Linked DNA regions of Alligator mississippiensis. The protein of the gene in region 1 interacts with the protein of each later gene in a biochemical or structural test. Links are inferred from orthologs where the notes say so. Each region holds a gene or a part of one and is shown on either strand. Other genes may lie near its edges.

The links.
Region 2: of the proteins of CDK1 (region 1) and RPS3, one has a biochemical effect on the other in vitro, tested with the Homo sapiens proteins (2 studies listed by BioGRID, with this or other methods). The link is inferred for Alligator mississippiensis from reciprocal best matches to the Homo sapiens genes CDK1 and RPS3.
Region 3: the proteins of CDK1 (region 1) and GADD45A form a complex in vitro, tested with the Homo sapiens proteins (5 studies listed by BioGRID). The link is inferred for Alligator mississippiensis from reciprocal best matches to the Homo sapiens genes CDK1 and GADD45A.

Annotation. Positions count from the first base shown.
Region 1 is NC_081829.1:48,175,842-48,183,285, forward strand, and holds the start of CDK1 (cyclin-dependent kinase 1), read left to right. Parts: upstream 1-3,313; 5' UTR 3,314-3,415; intron 3,416-3,460; exon of another isoform or gene 3,461-3,686; intron 3,687-3,978; 5' UTR 3,979-3,998; coding exon 3,999-4,035; intron 4,036-5,283; coding exon 5,284-5,440; intron 5,441-7,444. UniProt on the Homo sapiens protein: Plays a key role in the control of the eukaryotic cell cycle by modulating the centrosome cycle as well as mitotic onset; promotes G2-M transition via association with multiple interphase cyclins.
Region 2 is NC_081824.1:468,418,363-468,425,806, reverse strand, and holds the start of RPS3 (small ribosomal subunit protein uS3), read right to left. Parts: upstream 4,009-7,444; 5' UTR 3,931-4,008; coding exon 3,901-3,930; intron 2,539-3,900; coding exon 2,408-2,538; intron 1,390-2,407; coding exon 1,296-1,389; intron 1-1,295. UniProt on the Homo sapiens protein: Component of the small ribosomal subunit. The ribosome is a large ribonucleoprotein complex responsible for the synthesis of proteins in the cell. Has endonuclease activity and plays a role in repair of damaged DNA.
Region 3 is NC_081828.1:18,318,968-18,326,411, forward strand, and holds GADD45A (growth arrest and DNA damage-inducible protein GADD45 alpha), read left to right. Parts: upstream 1-2,987; 5' UTR 2,988-3,053; coding exon 3,054-3,097; intron 3,098-3,186; coding exon 3,187-3,288; intron 3,289-3,374; coding exon 3,375-3,603; intron 3,604-5,947; coding exon 5,948-6,061; 3' UTR 6,062-6,684; downstream 6,685-7,444. UniProt on the Homo sapiens protein: In T-cells, functions as a regulator of p38 MAPKs by inhibiting p88 phosphorylation and activity.

The DNA.
Region 1 (7,444 bases):
TATCTGAGGTAAGATCTTTTTTTCTTCATGCTGCCTTTTCAAAAGCAAGGTCTATGTTAAATTCCTGGGTGTAGTATATGCAAGAAAATATGATAAGTTATTTTTAAGAAGAGAGTTTAAGTTACTTTTCCCCAAGTCATACACATCAGTCAGTAAAATCTAAGAGTCCTGACTCCTGCTCTGCTTGTCCAGCCTTATTCCTTACCTCCCATTAAGCTGAAACAGGGACTTAATTATTTTAATCTTGGGACAGTCAGACAGCACCTTTTTATCTGATATACATACATAAATCCCAATTCTAGTGCAGTTAAGTGCCTCACTGACCTATTATAACATGCCAACTTTCAAAAAGTCTCCCAGCAGTATTTTACAGATCAGCACTCTTGAGAGCAGAAATAATGAATTTGTTTTGGCTGGTGCTAGTAACTACACCTAAAAGACTTGCTTGATTAAGAGGAACAGATGCAGCTACACAGCCAAGCTTAATCCAAATATGATTATATTCCCCATGCAAATAGTCTAATCTGTTATTTGAGCACTAATCAGTTTACTCATGTGTACTGTCCTACTTGAACCTGATTTAGCTTTATATTTAAAGAAACAGTGTTTAAGGCCATACGTTTAAGGTTTCTGGTCAGGAACTTTCATACATATGATATTTTCACGCTCTCTTACACTACACTATTCCATTTACACCACTAATAAAGTATATCAGTGAAGTGAAACTGAGAGAAACTTTCAACCCCAGAACATGACACTGTCACAGAGAAGTTGAAAGACATACAGATCACGGTGCGTTGCTTTATATTAGACACTATAGCCAGCACAGAACCCAGAGTTTTCCAGGAGCCCATAAATCACAGTTTTTTGGAGAATGAGGGCTCCATTCTCCACTTCCCTGCATCTGTTGTAGAAGTTTACACCAGTATGAAATGTGACTACAAACCACCACCTTTTTCAGTATTTTATTTATACTTAAATAAGTAAATGAATAAACAATAAAAGACCTGTCTACATCATGTCCACAGCACTCCTACGGAAGGCCGCTCTTGAACATGGCCTGCTCACCTGCTCTTGCTCATACAGGACACATCTGGAGCCACTGGTGGACACCCCTCATAGCCATTCTCAATGCACCAGACAGAGGTCTTGAGAATGGATGTCAGGGTGAGCACCGAGAGGCTTCACTGCCTATGACAGGGTTTGGTGCATACAAATGAGAGTGTGTGGGTGACACATAGTTGAGAAAGGTCCCCCCTGAAGACACGCTGTAGATATATTCTTAGTAGGTACATTCATAACACTGTCTGAGTAGACAGTATAGAAAGGGGCTGGGGAGGGAAGCAGAGCAGGGGAAGAGTCCAACCTGCTTCTTCAGCTTTATTCGTGGTTTGCCACCTTTCATGCTTTTATCTTCTTGCATGATATTTGGTGTTTTCCTCTGAGTCCCTGCTCCTTACTCCAGGTTATTATAAGAAAATCTTACCCTCCAGTAAAACAGTAAGGTTTATAATTGCATAGAAAAGCATAGCATGACCCCTATACATTCAAAAACTAAGAGGCAAATGAAAAAAAAAAAAATTATATATATATATATATATATATTTTAACACCTTATTATTTTTACATAAATCTTATTACTTGGGGTATCTGACATCCCGGATCTTGTGAATGTTTGAGATGGTCAATAGTGGTACTCCAGTAGCCAAAATAATAAACTCTTGTATCAGATCTAGTAAGATGCCCATGTCTTATTTGATTTTGTATGACCTGTCCTGCAATGAAAGAGAGGATCCTTCAGAATCCAAGCCAGATAGTCTGAGATCTGACAGTTTTATAGAATCATACAAAAAAAAGAGCTAGAAGGGACCTCAGGAGGGTCCTGGTCCAACCCTATGCTCAAGACAAGCTCATATCTGTATAAGCCATTTCATCCAAGTATCTGTCTAGCCTCATTTTGAGAGCTTCCAAGGATGGAGATTTCGCAGCCTTTCAGTGAATTTGTTCCAGTGCTTAATAAGCTTCATAATTAGGGTAGTAGCCAAGGCAGGAGTTGAGGATAAATTTAAATCGCTTGTATACTTTCCAGCAGTCTCACCCCATCTTTACTAGCAGCCATAAGGGCCAGTCTACAGTCAAAACTAGCTAGAGTACAACTGTGCTCCTGGCACTCCCCCCTACATTGGTACTACAGCAGGAGATGGCTGCCCAGGGAACCCCATCTCATTGCTCACAGTGTCTGGGTACCACTTCTAAATAAAAAAAGAGGGTCAATAGTTCTTTAAATAGGTGCACAGACAGCACCTTAAAGAAAAACCTAGGGCTTGGGACACCACATGCCTGCCTATACATGTGCTCCAATGTGTTCTAATTAGATGCATTCTAATTAATTGATTAATCTAATCTGTTGGAGAGTTCCAATTGGAATGCTCTAGCATGCCTCACTGTCATGTGTATTTCAGCATCACACATTTCAAAATGCAGCAGGGGTGCTTTAAGTAAAGCTTGATTGATAAGTTTTAGTTTAAGCACCCCACATGGCTATTTTGAAACATGGGATGCAGAACACATGCAACATTTTAATTACAGCAACTGGCCAGGAGCCACTCTAATTAAAACACCCCTCCTCCCCCCATGCACCTGTATTATTTCCAGCTATCCCAGGTGTCCATGGTGATGTCAACCAAGGCTCTCAGTTTTCCCAGCTTTGTCTACCAAGCTTCAGTGGCCTCAAGGAAGGCAGGGAGGTGAGAGGCCGGCAGGTACTTTCCAGATGTCAGCATCCTTCAAAAGGGTGACAACATTATTAGGCTGTTACAAGGACAAAGGATTCCTGCTCGAGGGATCAGACAGTGCTATGTTGCAGCAGAGGAAGGTGGGGAGTACGACTAGCATCTACATACTTTATTCCTTTGCTCCATTTCTACCCAACTTATGATAATGGAGTTGCTTGACCACCCTCACGAGCAACAACAAATCCGAGCCAGGCTGATAATACCTCCCCAAAATACTCAGGAAACCCCATTCATGCCAGAAGGGAAGAGGCTTTAAAGACTCTTCCCCTGACATAACCCGAAGGAGGGAGGCTTAACAAAGGCTGAAAAATCCAACAGGCTTGGCTTGATTTATCCTCCCGCCCACGCCACTTTCCCACGTTCCCAAAGGGAGAAACAGTAGAACACCGAGTAAAATATTCTCGGTGGCCGCGCCCGACCGCGCACCTCCGAAGTGGCCGCCTTTTCGCTTAGCTTTGGCGCCGACCTTGAGTCGCGCGCTGATTGGCCGCTTTGAATACCTCGGCGCGACGCTATTGGCTGGGCCGGGGCGGCGCCGCGCGGTTAGTTCGAATCGGCCCCGCACAGGCGCGTGCCGCCTCTGGGCTTTGTGCAGCGGCGGTCCCGGGGCAGCCACTCAGGTACGGTCCCGGGGGGATGGATGCCTCCAGCTCTGACACCGACCCACTGGGCCGGGGAGGGCTGGGGGCAGTGTCCCGGGCTCGGCCGCGACCTCTTCCACTGCCTGGTCTTCCCCCCTCGCCCGGCCCCAACAAAGCCGGGCCGGGCGTCCCGTGCGCGGCCTGCGGACACCCCCGCCCTGGGGCCGAGACACGGGGGTGGTGCAGCTAGACACCCCCCCCCGCCAGCGGCAGGGTAGCTGCAGGACGCCCCTTAGAAACTACCGGGTGGGTAAGGAAAGAGCCGCAATCGTGACCCCGCACGGCCCCGGACAGCTCTCCATCAGGCCTAGAACAGTTTGTGACTGGCTGGAAGCCTGGATGGGCACCTTCCACCTTGCCCGGGGTGGGCAGTGGGGATAGTTTCCTCCTGTGCGGGACCGGGTCCTAGCAGATGGTGGACACAACCCCTCCAGTCCCGTTTGGAACTCACCCAACCCAATTTAGTGCTTTACCCCAATCCCGGGGGCCTGGAGACCTGTCCTCAGCTCTCTGGCTCCTTCCTAATTATTTCTTCTTTTAAGGCTAGTCACATTAAGGAGTGATGGACAACTACACAAAAATAGAGAAGATTGGTGAAGGTGGGTAACACAGGATGCATGATCCTTTATGTTGTGTATTTGGATGCAAACTTTTTCAACCCCAAAGGAAGCTTGTTTGGCAGTAGCTGCACTTACTAATTAAGTATGTCTGTCTAGTCCCATGAATATGCTTTCAAAATAGCTCTTGGTTTGGTGGCATTGGGAGCCACCTGAAAATGCAAAGGGCAGTGGCTCTCACACGTCTTAGATTCAAAGCACCCCTCAGAAAATGCCAGCTCTTGGTTTTCACCTGTTCCGTGATTATAGAAAAATAATAGAGCAATTCTGCTGCAAGGATGTTTTTGACACCATGTATTTGAAATCTCTGGGTTTATTTTGTGAATCATGTGCAAGTGTTATGCGGTAGGAACCAGTAACAGGATCTCATGGCCCATCAGGATACGGTGGCATTCTGGTTGGAAATCACTGATATAGCATAGCGAGCAGCTTCCTTCATGTCGATGGTCACTGGTACATGTGTATATAACCCTTTAGTAGCACTTAGGAGGGAAAGAAGAGGAAAGATAGATCTGCTTTTGTACGAGAAGTAGTTGGATCCATGGTTTTGCCCTATAGATTGTGCTGTAAAAGCAGTTGTGACATCCTTTCTAAATTTTTATTTGAGGGCTAAAGTGCAGGAATAAAGGAGTGATATTGTAAGCCATTCCATTACTGATCCCAAGTTTCTTGAAACACTGCATAAACATGCGAAGGTAACTGAAAATAAGTTGTATATTAGTTAAGGAACTCTTACTTTCCTTTTATATCAAGAATGAAGAGAGTTAAAAGTTGAGAACAAAACACTTCAAGAAAAAAGTACTAGGAAAACAATACTTTTTGGAAGTTAATCGAAGAAAGCTGTCCCGAGCAAAAGTCCAGCAATCCTGACTTAAAATAAAACTAGCATCCTCAGTATTCTGATCTGCTCTGTGGTTTGAGTTAATCGAAGAAAGCTGTCCCGAGCAAAAGTCCAGCAATCCTGACTTAAAATAAAACTAGCATCCTCAGTATTCTGATCTGCTCTGTGGTTTGAGTTACAGAGGTAATCCTAAACTTTTAATCTGTTTTTGCCTTAGAGTTTACCAGTGCATATAGCTTGGAGTCAGGCAAAAAATATTTAGATTGTAATATCTGGTTCTGTAGAGAATCACCACAATGCAACAGCCTTATTTCACTTGAAATTATGGTGACCTTGTTTTTTACCTAAATCTTCACAAAGCTGTTTTTCGTATGTCACATTTTTGTCAGGTACCTATGGTGTTGTATATAAAGGCCGACACAAAGCCACAGGCCAGGTGGTTGCCATGAAGAAAATTCGACTAGAAAGTGAGGAGGAAGGTGTTCCCAGTACAGCAATCCGAGAAATTTCCTTATTAAAAGAGCTACATCATCCCAACATAGTCTGGTATGGTATGCATGCAGTATTCTGGCATTTTGCTTTCTCTGTTGAAGAGTACGCACACTCCTATCAATATCCATTCCAATTACTAAGTACTACGGTGAAGTGAGTGGGTTTTACCTTTGCTTCGGATTAGTTGTCATGAGGTTCAGGTTCCTAAAATTACAGATCATGCCTTTCTCTGCAAATCCTTTTCTTAGTCTATCAGTCCCACTCCCTCATCTACCTACCAGTTAGGAGATCTTAGATTTTTCATTTGTCACTGGAATCTGTACAGCAGCTTACAGTGAGAAAAATATTAGATATGACTTGATAAAGGAAGCAGCTGGTGCTGTTCTTCAATCAGCCACATAATCTTCACTGAAAGATTTGGACCACCTTATCTGATCCTAGTGACTAACAATAAGGATGTATTCGAGTCCTAACTTTTGAAAGAAGTTGCTTTGTTTCAACAGCAGACATTTATTAAAATGTAGTTTTAAAGTTTGTTGTGACCCTTGTATGGCTGGTACAAATTAATGAGCTGTGATTTCAAGATATTTCATGGTTTCATACTTGGTTGGGTCGGAAGGGACCTGAGCAGGAAAGAGTACTGGGGTCCATCTAGCCTCCTCTTAAAGACACCCAGGGTAAGAGCCAGCACCACTTCTCTTGGAAGTTGGTTCCAGATCCTAGCCACCCTGACTGTGAAGTAGCACCTCCTGATATCTAGTCTAAATCTACCCTCTGCCAGCTTGTGACCATTACTTCTTGTCACTCCTGGGAGTGCTTGGGGGAACAGGGACTCCCCCAATGCCTGCTGGTTCCCTCTGACTAGTTTGTAAATGGCCACCAGATCCCCCCTCAGCCTTCTCTTGTGGAGGCTGAACAGGTTCAGGTCCCTTAGTCTCTCCTCGTAGGGCCTGCCCTGCTGCTCCAGGTCATGCGAGTGGCCCTCCTCTAGACCCTCTTGATGCCATCCACATCCCTCCTGAAGTGCGGCGCCCAGAACTGGATGCAGTACTCCAACTGTGGCCTGACCGGTGTCACATACAGGGGGAGGATCACCTCCTTGGACCTGCTTGAGCTGCGTCTGTGGATGCATGACAAGGTGCAGTTGGCCTTCCTGACCGCGTCCTCATGCTGTCGGCCCATGTTCGTTTTGGCATCAATAATGACTCCCAAGATCCTTTTCTGCCTCTGCACTGACAAGAAGGGATTTCCCCAGCCTGTAGGTATGCTGCTGGTTCTTCCTCCCCAGGTGCAGTACCTTGCACTTGTCAGTGTTGAAACCCATCCTGTTCTCATCTGCCCACCCCTGTAACCTGTCTAGGTCCGATTGCAGCCTATTTTCCCTTCTAGCGTGCCCGCTTCCCCCCACATCTTAGTGTTGTCTGCGAATTCGAACAGGGTGCTTTTTACCCCCTCATCCAAGTCACTGATGAAGATGTTGAACAGTGCAGGCCCGAGGACTGAGGCCTGCAGAACCCCACTGCCCACCTCCCTCCAGGTTGAATAAGACCCGTCCACCACCACTGTCTGGGTACAGCCCTCCAGACAGTTAGTGACCCTTCTGACTGTGTAGGTGTCAACGCCACAGTCCCCTAGTTTTTTAATGAGAACGGGGTGAGAGACAGTGTCAAAGGCCTTCCTGAAGTCCAGAAAGACTACGTCCACTGCTACCCCTGCGTCTAAGGATTTTGTGACCTGGTCATAGAAGGCCACCAGGTTGTTCTGATAGGACCTGCCTCTAATGAACCCGTGTTGGTTGCCCCTAAGCATAATCTCCCCTACTGGCCCCTCACGGACATGCACCAGGATATTTCTCTCAAAAAGCTTACCCAGGATCGATTTGTTGCTTGACAACGGTGAATTTGTAGAATTGCTTGAGCCTAGAAAATATATATAGTTTTGTCAAATGTTTGCTTAGTCACTCATACAGTACACTGGTTTTTTAGATCTGTTTCAGTCTAGGTGGATTTTTAGTGAGGAGAAAGGCTGACTAGTTGAAATTGAAGGTCTGCATGACTT
Region 2 (7,444 bases), on another chromosome or scaffold:
GTCTTCTACTCCTTGCTTTGAAGCATCCTAGCGTCATCTGACGGCCCATCAAGACATGCCTAGTGCAGTCCAGGAGGTGCTTCCTACCCAAGCGTGCCTAGAGCATCCGACAGCCTTGGAGATGTAATCTTTCCAATGTGTCCAAGTTCAGACTACATTGGTGATGTTATCTTCCAAGGGGGCCTGGAATGCCTGGCAGTGCTTGCAGAAGCAACCTGCAGACATTGCCCGCATGCTGCGATGACTGAAAACTTAATTTAAAAAAAAAAAATCATGGTCAAAATATGAAGTTGCAAGCAGACTTATTAAGGTAATGCATACGGTGAGCCTCAATGGTGGAGCCATACACTCATCCTAAGGCAGCTTCTTTAAAATCTCTAAGCTGTTAAGACTTGTGCAGTGTGGAAAATAGACTTGTCTTAAGAGATCCCACCAGCTGGCTGCCAATCCAGTCCAGCACCACCTGCCATACTCAGTACCAGATGCTTCAGAGGACAGTCCAAAGAACAATGAAGGGGATGGTCGTTGGCAATGCATAGCAGGTGCACACGCACCCACTGGAAGCGCCAGCCACGAAACTGGAAGTGCACTCCCAGTTTAGCCACTGGCTCGGCGATCAGTCACTGGAGACCCCTCCATCGGCGATCTGGTGCCCGCCCCGGGGAGGCACCAGTCGGCCATGGGGACAGTCATGGGCTAATCCTACTGACCAAGGAAGCTTTCAAAGCTCCATAAAAGCTGGATAATTGATGCTCAAGCATTTTAATCCTGGCTAAGTGTAATGCTGGATGTTTCTTATTTGTGCAATACCTATTTATTTAGAATTCAATGAGCTTCAGACCCCTAAAGTACTAGTGTGGCCAAGGCATAGCATTTGACTCCTGAACTATAACACAGAGTTACTTACTCCTGTTAAAGAGCTATAGCAAGAAACCAGCATTGTGTTAGCACTTCAGCCAGGCTGATTTCCATACTCTAGGTCAGGACTGTCTGCCCTACTTTCCCCAGGCAAATGCTCAAGGACACGCCATGGCAGCGTGCTTCGAGGCAGAAGCATTAAGTGGTAACGATCACTGTAGCAAATTCAGGAAACAAGGCAACATCCGCAACAAGAAGAGCATTCGCTAATCTTTCAGAACTATAACTAATAGTTGTGGCCATGACAATGGGCAAAACATCTGCCAACAGACACCAGCTTTTCAAATGGGTGCCCTTTAAACTGTTATCCAACCCATTTGAATATAAAGCAAAAGCAAGGCCCATTTTAAAGCATCAACAAAACAGAAGAAACTCACCTCAACACTTCCCTCAGGAAAGCCAAACCTCTTTTGCACAACAGCCGTCAGCTCACGGATACGGCGACCTTTTTCACCCAGAACATTCTGAGTTCTGTGAAGAAAAAAGAATAGACATATTATTACAACCTGGATTTGAAACTGAACATATTGTTTTACAGAACATAACCTAGATCAAAGCTACCTTCAATGCCTGTCACTTAACTTCCATGAACGTCAACAGAATCCAACACATGAAAACCTTTAATGATCCGATCCAAGTGTTAGTGTTTGCTTTAGTCCAGTTTTAAGTGACCGATCAGAATCGGGTATCTATTATTTTTTGAAAGACAATCCTGCTACTTACTCTCATTTCCAGGAAGGTTTTCCTAATAGCCAATAGTCTTCCCTTAATTTCCTCCCATTATTTCTGTTTGCCGCCTTCCCAGTGGTGGTCATCCCTGCACTCCCTTTCTGCTATACGTAGCAGGGTGGTTTTTTAAGCCTTCTGGGCATTTATACACATACTTCTTTGTCCTGCAAAAGCCGGAGATTCGCTGCTTCGGAGCAGACTCAATTAATCGAAACTGCTCTGCATGCAAGCGGAGGCAAACTGTGCTGTGTCACATACAGTTGTGTAAGTGGCAAAATCCACGTCAGCACACAGAAAACATCGGTGGTGCGCTTTTGAACTACAGCGCCTCCGATGTGTTTTAGTTCAAAAGCGCACCACCGCTATTTTCTCAGTGCTGATGCACGTTTCACCGCTTACACAACTGCAAGCCTCGCAGTGTCGAGGACTTTTCAAAGCACCCGGCACCGCAGTGCTCGCACGTGTAAAAATGCCCTCTGTGACCGGGCCATGCCAATGCTCCTGTTGGGATCAAAACCAGAGGCCTGTTCCTGGCTAGTCTCGCCCCTCCATTCAGGGTCACACTGATCAGTGTATTTGGGGTCACGAAGGACTTCTACCCCATGGTCAAATTGATATTGACTGGTGGTGAGGGGAGAGGGTTGCCTTAATTTCTTCCTGTAATTTCTTTTTGCCACCTTCCCAAAGAAACGAAACACACAGACAAGAGTCAAACACAACTCTAAACAGCATCAAAGAGCTCAAAGCACGCTTCCCTCACCTGGTAGCCAGGATGATAATTTCAGTCCTGGTTGGAGTCACTCTGACCTCTACTCCGGAGTACCCATCTTCGGCCAGTTCACGAGTCAGAAACTCATTCAGCTCGGCTTTGAAGATACCATCCGCCACGAACTAGAAAAGGAAACAGACCTGGTCAAACTCTGCTCAACAAAACCGACTGTGTTGTTTTGCTCGTTCTCCTTCCTACCCCCTGCTTTCTGCTACATATGGCAGGGTGTTTTTTAAGCCTTCCTCTGGTTACAATCAAAGCTGGGGACTCCGACTGGGCTCCAACTGTGTCAATGCTCCTGCTGGGACCAGAGCCAGAGGCTCCTGGTTAGAGGGTCTTTCTTGCCCCTCTGCTCAGGATCAGACTGATTGTCAAATTTGGTGTCAGGAAGGAATTTTACCCCGTGGTCAAGCCAGTATAGACTGGGCGGGAAGTGGGTTGCCTTCTCTGAAGTGAGGGCACAGCCATCTACCTGGGATCTCTTAAGCGTACACTAACATTTCACAGAAGCAGGGCATCGACCACCACGGCTCCCCTGCTTTCCCTACGACAAGTTAGGGTGCTAGGTATCAGGGTAGACAGTCTTATGTCAACTTTAGACTGGACAGCACTGTTTGAACATGGAGGATCTCGCTTCATGCAGGCGGTCGGACTGGACACGACGCCTGCGCATCTCTACCAGCTCCCACTTCTCTATGAAATGCTCTCAGTTCAGGACCCGATTGAGGAGGCCGGCAGGGCCACCCTGGATCACTGCGCTGCTGTTCTCTGCAAACCTTGGGTGGCAATAACCCCGGAAAACACGCCGGTCAGCATAACTTTAGGAGCAGGTCGCTTCCTTCCAGCACCGGCTTGCACTCGGGCTGCTCCAGAACGAGCGGATGTATAACCACTATCGAACGACTTCCTAAACAGTGCTGGCCAAACTGGATTTTAAGGTTCAACTATCCTCGAAAGACTTCCAGACTGGAACGGCACCCGCTGGGCAGCTAACATGCGCTCGGGGTTACGTTTCGTAGGACCCATCTCCTCTGCAACCTGCTTGCTGCTGAAGTCACCCAGACACAGATAGGACCCGACCACTTCCCGCCACGCTCAGCTGGTGCGTGCACCTGGGGAAGGGCTCCCTGGGCTGCACCCAGAGCACCTGCCCGGGCCCAGGGGGTGCAGCAGAGCCCTGGCCCCGCTGGGGGAGGCAGAGCTGCACCCCGGACACACGTGCAAGCGCGCTCTGCCCCACGCGCTGCAGCCCCCCTCCCCCACCTACGTAACCCCCCTACGTAATCCCCCCTCCCACACAAGATGCAAGGAGCCGCCATGTTGCCGGCCAGGCCAGGCCGAGCCTCCATCCGCTTCCATCCGCCCCCGCCGCCGCCTTGTCCCCGCCACTCCCGACCCCAAACCCTGCCCGGGCCCCCGCCGCGCCCGGCCCCGCCGATATGGCCCCGCCCCGCGAGCCCGGGAACCCGCCCCGCGGCGCCCACCTTGCGCTTTTTGGAGATCTGCACCGCCATCTTCCCGCGCCGGCTGGGAAAAGAAGGGCCCGCCGCTCCCGAGGGGAAATATAAACCCCGTCGCTGCTTCCCATTGAGCGAGAGAGATCACGTGGGCCGAGGGGAGCGGGGGTTGCTGGGAAATGTAGTCTCTCCAGGACAAGCCTTCAGCCTAGGGTGCCAGCCCCGCAGCGTGCCCGTGGTGACGGCGCGCGGGGTGAATTCGCACCCGGGGCTCATCACGTGCAAGGCCCCGCGCGCACACGCAGCTTCACGCGTTTGGTTTGGGTTTAAAGGCTTGGTTCACCCACTGCCATAGAGCAAGTCCTCCCGCAGATGTAGAGTGTCCATTTTCAGGAAGTGTGGCATTCACTAGGGGTTGGACAAGCGGCTACTTCCGGGTGTGGCGGAACAGGCGGGCGCTGTGCAGGGCAGTGCTGATGCCTGCCTGTGGGCGCGGGGCTGCACGGGGAAGACTGCAACTGCGCAGACTAGCTAAAGGTCACACACACACTCTGTATGCATTGCACACACACACACACACACACACACACACTATATATATTTGTGCATTGCACACAGGCACACACACACTATGCATTGCACACATGCACACACTATATATGCATTGCGTGCACACTATATATATATATATATGCGTTGCACACATGTACACACTGCCTTGCACACACACTATATATATGCATTGCACACATGCACACTATGCATTGCGCACACGTGCACACTATACATGCATTGCGCACACTATGCATTGCGCACATGCGCACACTATATGCACTGCACATGTGCACACATAGTATATCTGTGCATTGCACACACGCTATAGGCATTGCACACCCCCAAACCCCCAGACTAAAGATCTCACTCACACGCTATATATGCATTACACATACACTCATACTAAAGATCACATACACACTATATATGCATCACACATACACACACACACACTATATACACACAATCTCTCTCTCTCTCTCTCTCTCTCTATATATATATATACACATATACACACACATACACACACACCCCAAAGTAGATCGATAGATAGACAGCTAGATCTACTTTGGTTAGTTCAGTGGTTCTCAACCTTTCTGGACCCCGCCCCCCATTAACTTTGTGAATCAAGTGACACCCAATGTTAAAAGCAGAATTCATATATTAGTGTTGGCGTCCTTACAGAGGGGCTGGGCAGTGGAGGTGGGGGAATTGTAAAGGCAGGGACAAGCCTGAATCGGGTTTATTTGCTTAGCTTGTCTACTTATCTCCTCACGCCTTACTTCCATCAAGACTACAAGAAAAACTACAGACCTTGATCCCCCCGCTACCTAACCCAGGGACTTTTTACATGCTCCCTAAAATCCACAAACAAGGGAACCCTGGCAGACCTATCATATCCAACCATGGGACCCTAACTGAGGAAATATCAGGTTTCGTTGAATCAATCCTAAAACCACTTGCCACCCACAGAGCAAGTTTTGTACAAGACACCACAGACTTTCTACAGAAACTTAAACACATAGACCACCTTCCCAGCAACACACTCCTAGCCACCATGGACGTTACCAGCCTATACACCAACATCTCACACCAGGATGGCATCCACGCCTGCCTTACATATCTACAGGAACAAGATTACAACTCAGGTTACAGACCCAAAGATATTACTGACCTTATACATGTCATCCTCACACACAACAATTTAACTTTTAATAACCAACACTTCCTCCAGATGATGGGAACAGCTGTGGGCACCAAAATGGCCCCACAGTATGCCAACCTTTTTATGAGCCACCTGGAAGAAGACTTCCTGAAGAACTGCACCCGCAAACCCTTGCTATATTTAAGATATATCTATGACATCTTCATCATTTGGACTGAAAACGTACAATCTCTGATTGAGTTCCATCAGAAATTTAACAATCGTCATCCCTCCATCCAACGTTCTCTCGAATACTCCAGCACCAACAGCTCCTTTTTAGACACGATGATCAGGATTCAGAATGGTAAAATACAGACCACAGTATACAAGAAACAGACCAACATGCATATCTGCACAGAACCAGCAATCACCCCACATGCACCAAGAAAGCTGTGATATACAGCCAAGCCCTCAGATCCCACCGCATTTGCACTGAAGAGAACACCTGGGATCGCCACCTCACCAATCTTAAAAAGGCTTTCACCCAGCAAGGACACTCCTCCAGAGAGATACATTGCACATAGATTCATAGATTCATAGATTGTAGGGTCAGAAGGGACCACAATGGATCATCGTGTCCCCCGGCAGGAAAGAGGACTGAGGTCAGATGACCCCAGCCAGGTGACTATCTAGCCTCTTCTTGAAGACCTCCCAGCTAGGTGATGTTGGCTACAAATGTCCAACTCAGGATCCTTAAAATTCTGATTTATTAGGCGGATTGAAACACTGTAATGAAGTTAAATCATAAATCTTGGGGCTGGTCCCCCCCCCCCGCCCACACACACACACACACACACACACAGAGTAGCGAGCTACAAGAGTCAGGTATACCTATCCCACAGGTGCTGGAGTCTGCCGTCGAGGCTTCTTTCAGCGTGGTGTTATCGGACCCCACTGCCCACTTCCCTCCAGGCCAAGAAGGACCCATCCACCACCACTCTCTGGGTGCGGTCCCTAAGCCAGTTGGCCACCCACCTGACCGTGCAGGCGTCCACTCCACAGTCTGCTAGCTTCCCAATGAGGATAGGGTGCGAGACTGTGTCGAAGGCCTTCCTAAAGTCCAGGAAGATGACATCAGCCTCGGCTCCCGCGTCCAGGCAGTGTGTGACCTGGTCATAGAAGGCTACAAGGTTTGTCAGGCAGGATCTACCTGTGACAAACCCGTGCTGGTTTCCCCTCAGCATCATTTCCCCTGCTGGGCCGGCACAAATGTGTTCTTTGATTATTTTCTCTAGCATTTTCCCAGGAATAGAGGTAAGACTGACTGGTCTAACGTTACCCGGCTCATCCTTTCTCCCTTTCTTGAAAATGGGCACCACATTGGCCCTTCTCCAGTCCTCAGGGACCTGGCGGGAGCACCACGAGTGCTCGAACAGCCATGCCAGCGACTCAGCTATGACACTGGCCAATTCTTTCAGCAGCCGTGGATGGAGGTCATCCGGGTCTGCTGACTTGTACCCATCCAGCTCCTCCAGGAGCTCCTTAAGTATTTCACATTTGAAAGAGCCACCCGGTTACCATGTGAAGAACTGCTGCAGTACAGAAGAAAACCCCCCGCAAATCTCACGCCGCTGGTTATGACACATCACCCCTCCCTTGAACCTGTACGGAAAATCCTCAAACAATTGCAACCCATACTAGACAGAGACCCTATTCTTAAAGAGCTCTTCCCAGAGCCACACATCCTAGCCTTCAAACAAGCACCGAACCTCGCCAACCTCATCACCAGAAGCAAACTTCCTCAAGCCCAGAACACACCAAAAGGATCCAGACCGTGCCAGGACAAGAAATGCCAAACCTGCCAACACATCT
Region 3 (7,444 bases), on another chromosome or scaffold:
GTCAGGTCTTGGGGTTTTCAATTAAAAAAAAACCAAACAACAAATAAGCATCTGCTACTGAGGTTTGCTGAGAAAAATTGAAAACATGCTATGATTGTAGCCTGAAGTCAACAGCAGGGGTCAGCAATCCCCAGCACGCGTGCCAAGCATGGCACGCAAGGCCATTTTGCTCTGCACACCACTACCAGCCTGGGCTCTAAGCAGCTGCTGCCAGCCACCGAGCCCAGGCTGCTTCCAGCAGGTGGCTGGGAGGCTGCAAGCCCTGCTGCAAGCAGACCAGGCTCTGTGGACTGGCTGAAGCTGGGAGGCTGCAAACAGCTGCTCCGGGCTCCAGCATGTTGGCACTCTGGCACCTTCCAAAGTGACATTGTGGTTTTTTCGGCACTCCAGCCAAAAAATGTTGCCTACCATTGGTCTACAGTCTTGGAAACCAGAAGGCAGATAAAACAAACCCACAACGATTACTTAAAAAAAATCATTAAAAGCACAACTCTTGAATGCGTGGGGTTGCAATACTACACTTACACCATTCTGATCCAGAAGGGAATTCAGAATCACTGAGACAAAGACTGTCCTCCATGACATAAGCATAAGCCTAGAGTGACTCCAGTTACTCCTGTACTAGGCATATCTGTGATTAAACATCCTACAGATCTCCCCAGTTTCGCAATGAAATGCAGCTGTCCTGCATTTCACTGTCTTTCCTTTCAGGCACAAATTCCCACTTGTCCCACCCAACACTGCAAGGTCACTTTTTATCTTAGTAAATTATTGACATAAGGAATTCTGACTTAGGCAACATAAATGATAGAAATGTTATACCTGTGCTGAAGCAGGGGCACCCAAACGTATATCACAGAGATACACTGGCAATTGACAGTGGGCCAAGGACTGGTTCTAACTTGTGTGTCGAGCTTAAGTCCCTCAGTGCAAGACTTAAAATGATGTGCAGTTTATTACTTCCTACCAGAGCTGCCCATTGCATGACATGGCTGTTCATGGGGCACTGAAATGCATCTCTGCTTTCCCCTTGACAGGAGAAAGAGAGGTGAATTCAACTGACAGGCTGTTGCAGTTTCACTCCTAAGGAAGAATAAATTCAGGCAAAGCCGAAGGCAACATACTTTTATATTTCCAACGGGTGGAGTTCTTCTTTAAACAGGTCTTGCCCTGAGCACATGACTTAAATGTCATCTCGCAGATTTATCTCTGGACTCCCCCATGCCCTTCTGCTTTAGGCTAGGTACAAAGATTTCTGCCATTTCCGTTTTATGAATCAGCACTTCTTACGTCACTAACTTGCTATAACAAATGTGAGGTGGCACCTTTGTCTGGTGAACTGGTGTCTACAATGAGGGAAAGTTGAGAGCTGCACTTCAGTGGGAACAATTTACAGTGACCCCATGCATTTAATGTAGGAGTTTGCTTTGTTCCTAGTTCCTAGCTATTGCTTTACCTTTGGTTACACCCTACATGAGGGAGACAAGATTTCCAAAGCGTGGCTGGGTTTGGAGATGCTAGAGCTCTCCCATGCAGCATCTTCCAGGGTAGAGAGCAGTGCTTACACACCCCAGTGTTCACTTCAATTCTGCCCTCTGGGCTTGCCCCTTGCATCCCCAATTTTGTTTTCTCTTTTAGGCTTTAATCTTTTTACATTTTTTCTCCCTTCCCTTGTCCCAAGTGTATTCCTTGTTGCTTCTGCCTTATTCCCCTGAGTCCTTTGCCCCTTGCTTCTCTCCCTCCAAGAGAAAGAAGTGCTGCCAGTGCCCACCATCTCTTCACACCCCCTCAAGCCTCGCAGTCTTCTCCCATCCTCAGTGTCTTTTTCTTGCCCTGCCTCATCTCAGGGTGGCCAAAGGACGAAGGACACATCCTGCTGGGGGAATGAGGTCCTGGGAACAGGAATGGAAAGAAGGAACCTAGAAAGGGGGTCGAGGTCCAGAATTTGGCTGGGGATTAGAAGTGTAGGAGACCCCACAATGGAGCAGCTGGGCTGGAAAAAGGGGGTCAGGACTGGCGCTGCTGCAGAGCAGGCAGGGAATGACACTAGGCAGCGTGCAGCCAAGTGCTGTAGGGTCACGGCTGCCAGTCAGCTTGTGCACAAACCCCTGGATCTACTCATAGCCCCAATTTTTCAGCAGAACCTGGGGCTGACCCAGCCCGAACACAGCAGGCCCCATAAACTGGAAGATCCCCAGTAACCCAGGCGCTACACTCCCCCCATCTGTAACCCGACTGCTGCCAGCAAAGGGCGAACGTGTGAGATGTTGCACCGGCTCATACAGAGTAGTGCCGCAGCGCTCAACGTTTGCAGGCCTAGCTAATTGGGGGCTGATCTGCGGGGTGCAGAGCCAGCTGCCATTTGCCGTACTTTATGCTGCTGACTTCAGCGCAGCTGCCACTTTCCCTCAGCAACACACCTGGCCACAAGTTTCTAGTAATTTCTGCTTCTCTGCTACTTTTTTGTCTGTGAGAATTGACGGCTGAGACCTGACTTCCATTTGGACTGGATCTGAAGGGTAGCACTTCAGGGTCGCCCCCCGCTCTGCCTCCTTCAGGGTCTGCAGAAGCTTGGAGCAAAGTCCCTGCACCCCACAGATGTTGTCTGAGGGGAAGGCGAGGCTGCCAGTGGTGCTGAGCACCTGCTGCTACTTTTGAGGCAGGGGGAGCTGTGAGCGTTCAACCCCTTTGCAAGCCAGGCGAGCCACGCAAGTGCAGCGCCTGGGCCCCTCCCCACAGCATGACAAGAGCGGTCCCCACTGCAACCCTCAGCGCTGGGGCACGCGTGATTGACAGCTCCCCACCGCACCGGCCTCCCAGCCCTCCAATCAGCCAGCAGAGAAAAAAAGAAAAAGAAAAAAGCCCCCCCCCCCGCCCTCCTCTCGCACTGGCCGGGGCCGCACAAGGTCAAGTCGAACACGGGACACATTTGCATGACCCAATGGGGCGGCCGCATGCAAATGAGGGAGGAGGCGGTTGGCTGGGTGTTGGCAGGAGAAGTCCCGCGGGCCGCCCCGCTCCCTCAGAGCCGGCGCCGCGGCGCGAGGTGAGCGATGACGCTGGAGGAGCCGGGCGGACCGCGCCGCAGCCGGGCCAGGTAGGGGGGCGCGGGGCGCGCGGGGGGCGCGGGTTCGAGCTCGGGTCCCGGCGCCGCCGGCTCTGATGGCGCTGGCGCTGCCCCCTCAGGATGGAGACGGCGGGCTCGGCGCTGCAGGAGGTGCTGAGCAAGGCGCTGAGCCAGCGGAGCGTCACCGTCGGCGTCTACGAGGCGGCCAAGCTGCTCAACGTGTGAGTGCCCTGCCCCTCCCCCCCCCCGCACCCCCCTGTCCCCGGCCCCGGCCCGGCGGCGCGGGCTGAGCGCGGTCTCCCCGCAGGGACGCGGAGCGCGTGGTGCTCTGCCTGCTGGCCGCCGACGAGGAGGACGCGCGGGACGTGGCGCTGCAGATCCACTTCACGCTGCTGCAGGCCTTCTGCTGCGAGAACGACATCAGCATCCTGCGCGTCAGCAACCCCGCGCGCCTCGCCGAGCTGCTGCGCCTCCCGCCGCCCGGCGCCGGCCCCGGCCTCGACCCGCCCGCAGACCTGCACTGCGTGCTCGTCACGGTAGGCAGCGCACGGCCAGGGAGGGGAAGGGAAGGGGCTCCACCTGCGGGGGCGGGGTCCCCAGGGCCCGTGCGCCCGCCCCGACCTGCTCCGTGTGTGTGTGCGCGCACACGTGTCTACCTGGTTAGTCTGCAAGGTGTGCCTGCGTGTGTCTACCTGGTTCACCTGCAAGGTGTGCGCATGTGTGTGTGCCTGGTTAGTCTGCAAGGGGTGTGCGTGCGTGCATGCATGGGTGTGTATATGTGCGTGTCTACCTGGTTAGTCGGCAAGGTGTGCCTGCGTGTGGCTACCTGGTTCACCTGCAAGGTGTGCATGCATGTGTCTACCGGGTTAGTCTGCAAGGGTTGTGTGTCTACCTGGTTAGTCTTCAAGGTGTGCCTGCATGTGGCTACCTGGTTCACCTGCAAGGTGTGCACGCATGTGTATGCATGTGTGTACCTGGTTAGTCTGCAAGGGGTGTGCGTGCATGTGTGTGTATGCATGTGTCTACCTGGTTAGTCTGCAAGGTGGGCCTGCGTGTGGCTACCTGGTTCACCTGCAAGGTGTGCATGTGTGTGTATGCATGTGTCTGCCTGGTTAGTCTGTGCATGTGTATATGCGTGTGTCTACCTGGTTAGTTTTCAAGGGGTGTGCCTGTGTATGTATATGCATGTGTCTACCTGGTTAGTCTGCAAGGTGTGTCTACCTGGTTCACCCACAAGGTGTGCATGTACCTGGTTAGCCCGCAAGGTGCGTGTGTGTGTATGCATGCAGACTAACCAGGTAGACGCATGCAAGGCGTGTGTGTGAGTGTGCATCTCTACCTGGTTAGTCTGCAAGGCGTGTGTGCACGCATGTCTACCTGGTTAGTCTGCAAGGCGTGTGTGCACGCATGTCTACCTGGTTAGTCAGCAAAGTGCTAGTTTCTCCTGCCTCTGCCAGTCCCCTGCGTAGCCACCCAAGTGACTGCCCTCTCCAGCTGGCAGCCGAAGCACAGGACACTTGCCAGCACAGAGACACTTTGCTGGTGCTGCTGCTTCAGCAGGGGGCCCATTCCCGCTCTTCACCTGAGTACAGCTGGGTTTGCCCTCAACATAACCTTCAGATTGGGTTTCCAACAGGCTCCAAACTTTAGGAGTTTCACCCTGGAAAGGTTTCAGCTCGGCCCACTTTAAACTTGGATCTGAGTTTGGATTTGCAGCTGGGATTTTGGATCAGGCCCCTCTGCAGTTGGGACTGAGGTGCCCTTTCCTCTACTTACCTGTACCAAGGACTTACATCAGAGCTGCTCCCGATTTGATTATAGAGATTTTTTCCCACTTTTATGGACATGTTCAAACATGTTAGATCCTGTCAGCAGCAGGAGTGAGCCCTGTGAGTCACCTTGTTAGGGCAGCTGGGGTATTTATATTTGTCTTTCCTCATTACTGGATTAGATAAGCAGGTTGGATTGCTTTTGGCAGAAAAGGGTAGGCCAGGAGGAACTTTCTTTAAAGGTTCTGGGGAGGATTACTTTAAAGGTGCTAAATGATGTGATAATAATACTTCAAGTCAAGCTATTTTATAAACTGAAAGCTAGTTGTGGACAAAAACAGGGGAATTGCTCCAATTCTGTTTGGACAGGGTAAAACACATTTAAAAAGTAAAGTTCCTATTTTGAAATTTCTTCTTAAGGAAAAAAAAGCAAGCTCTAAAGAGTCCTGTTCCAGCCAAATTACATCTCAAACAAGCAGACAAAGCAGTGAATGTTCCTTTAAAAGTTCTTGGCCTGCAGAGGGAGACAGCTTTAGATGCAATACTTGAGAACTGTGCATCGCACCTAAAGGAAGCTGGTAAAAAGAATACAGCTACAATAGCCTGAGATGGATATTGCAACTTTCATTGAAATCAGGGGGATTTTTGTGCAAAAAGATATGGCAGTCAATAACCCATGACATACAATCTTGCATTTCAGTTAAGAGACCAGGTTCTGTGTGAAGTGTATTTGTGCGCACATATGAGAGAAGCCCAATTAATGAATAGACAATAGAATTAAAACAGAATTTAAAGACACAAGAAGGATGGCAGCATCTACCACGAGTTTAAAATACTCTGACCCTCAACCACAGCGATATCGTGAAACCCTTAAAATCCTTATTCAGGTTTTAAATATTATATTCCTGCATACAGATAGGACTGCAAGAAACCTGTAAAAGGCTTGAGAAGACTTCACCTGTTGCAAACTAAAATGAATTCAAGGAAAGAGGGTAGTTTTAGGATTGGATGTGAATAGTTGCATTACAATAGCGCTCTTTAATTATTTTTACACTAATCATTTGAAACCAGTCACAGTTTTTTGTTTTAAAATCAACTCTGTCTTTTCCAGAACCCCTATGCTTCTCAGTGGAAGGATCCAGCACTGAGTCAGCTAATGTGCTTTTGTCGTGAAAGTCGCTACATGGATCAGTGGGTTCCAGTGGTTAATCTCCCTGACCGGTGATGGCATTTGGATGTAAACGAACTGAACAAAATTGCACTGAAGTTCTAAAATACTTTAGCAGTTGCTCAGGAAGTAACTCCCTACCCTGACACAAGGATTACAAAAAACAAAACAAGCTGATGTCAAGTGGGTTAGACTGAAGTTGAACTACACGTTGTGTGGGACAGAAGAAGTGGACTCTGCAGTGGAAAAGTGATGGGAAAGGAAGTGGAAGCTGAAAGCGTATTAAACAAGCGTCATGAAAAAAACTAAAAATAGCAAGAAGATGTAAGGTGCTGTATGCTTGAGTTACTTGCAGACTATGCCAAATACCTTTGAGTTTCATGAGTGCAACTTGTAGTTTCTCATTTAAAACACCTTTAGCGTGAAAAGAGCAAAAAGGTTTAATCAAAACATTTAAAACCATTTTATCGTATTTTGGAATGTTGATTTTCAAGGTTTTTATTCTAAGATCTACTAAGTTATTTTATGATATTGATGGAGGATTTATTTATGCTATGAACTTCAGAACTGGAATACCCTTAAACAGTTCGTCTACAACTCCACCCCTTGTTTTAATAAAATATAATTGTTTGAAACTGGATGGTGTTTCTTTTACTGAAATAAAATTTAAAAACCTCAAACTCCTAGCGTTAAGTTCTATTTTCTTGGCAGATTCAATACTCTGCAATGCTGTGGGACTTTTATGGGCAAGATGCATATGGAGGGAGGTTCAAAACCCAAGCTTTAATAGGTTACACCTTTTTACAGATGTAAAATGTACACGAGGCTTCTCAGTATGAGGTCTTCCAGAACACCAAAATGTGCTAAGTACTTTGTGGTACAAAAATCAACAGGCTCAGGGGTGTGGCATTTTCAAAAGTACCTACATTATTTGAAAGCCTCAGCCCTATTGAAAAACAATGGGATTTACACACACTTGAAAATTCTTCAAAGGTTCTTACTCTGCCAATCTAATATGAGGCTTTGATCCTCTTTATCTGATGCAATATCCAAACTAATTACTTGCAAATACTTCTGCCCACCCCTGGGACTCTTTCTTTTGATCAGATTTACTCCTTAAAGTGAAAAGCCACAGCAAGGAATAGTGCTTAGGGTGAAGTGGTCATGGATACGTGAGCAAAGGTTCCTCTCTGTAAGAAAATTTCAGTCCTTAAGGAAAAAAGCTTTGAACATGCTGGTGTTCTTGGACTACTACATTTGTGAAAGGGTGTAGAACTCCACAGACCCTAAAGATGAACAGTGTCACCAGCACCTTTTTATGACAAAGCATTTCAGTCTTTCTTCTTTTTCATTCTGCTGGCCCAATCTGGAGAAGCCTTCCAGGTGCTAGACTGTCACCTTTCTCAACAACTTTAGAATCTCCTTTGTCTTCATTTATAG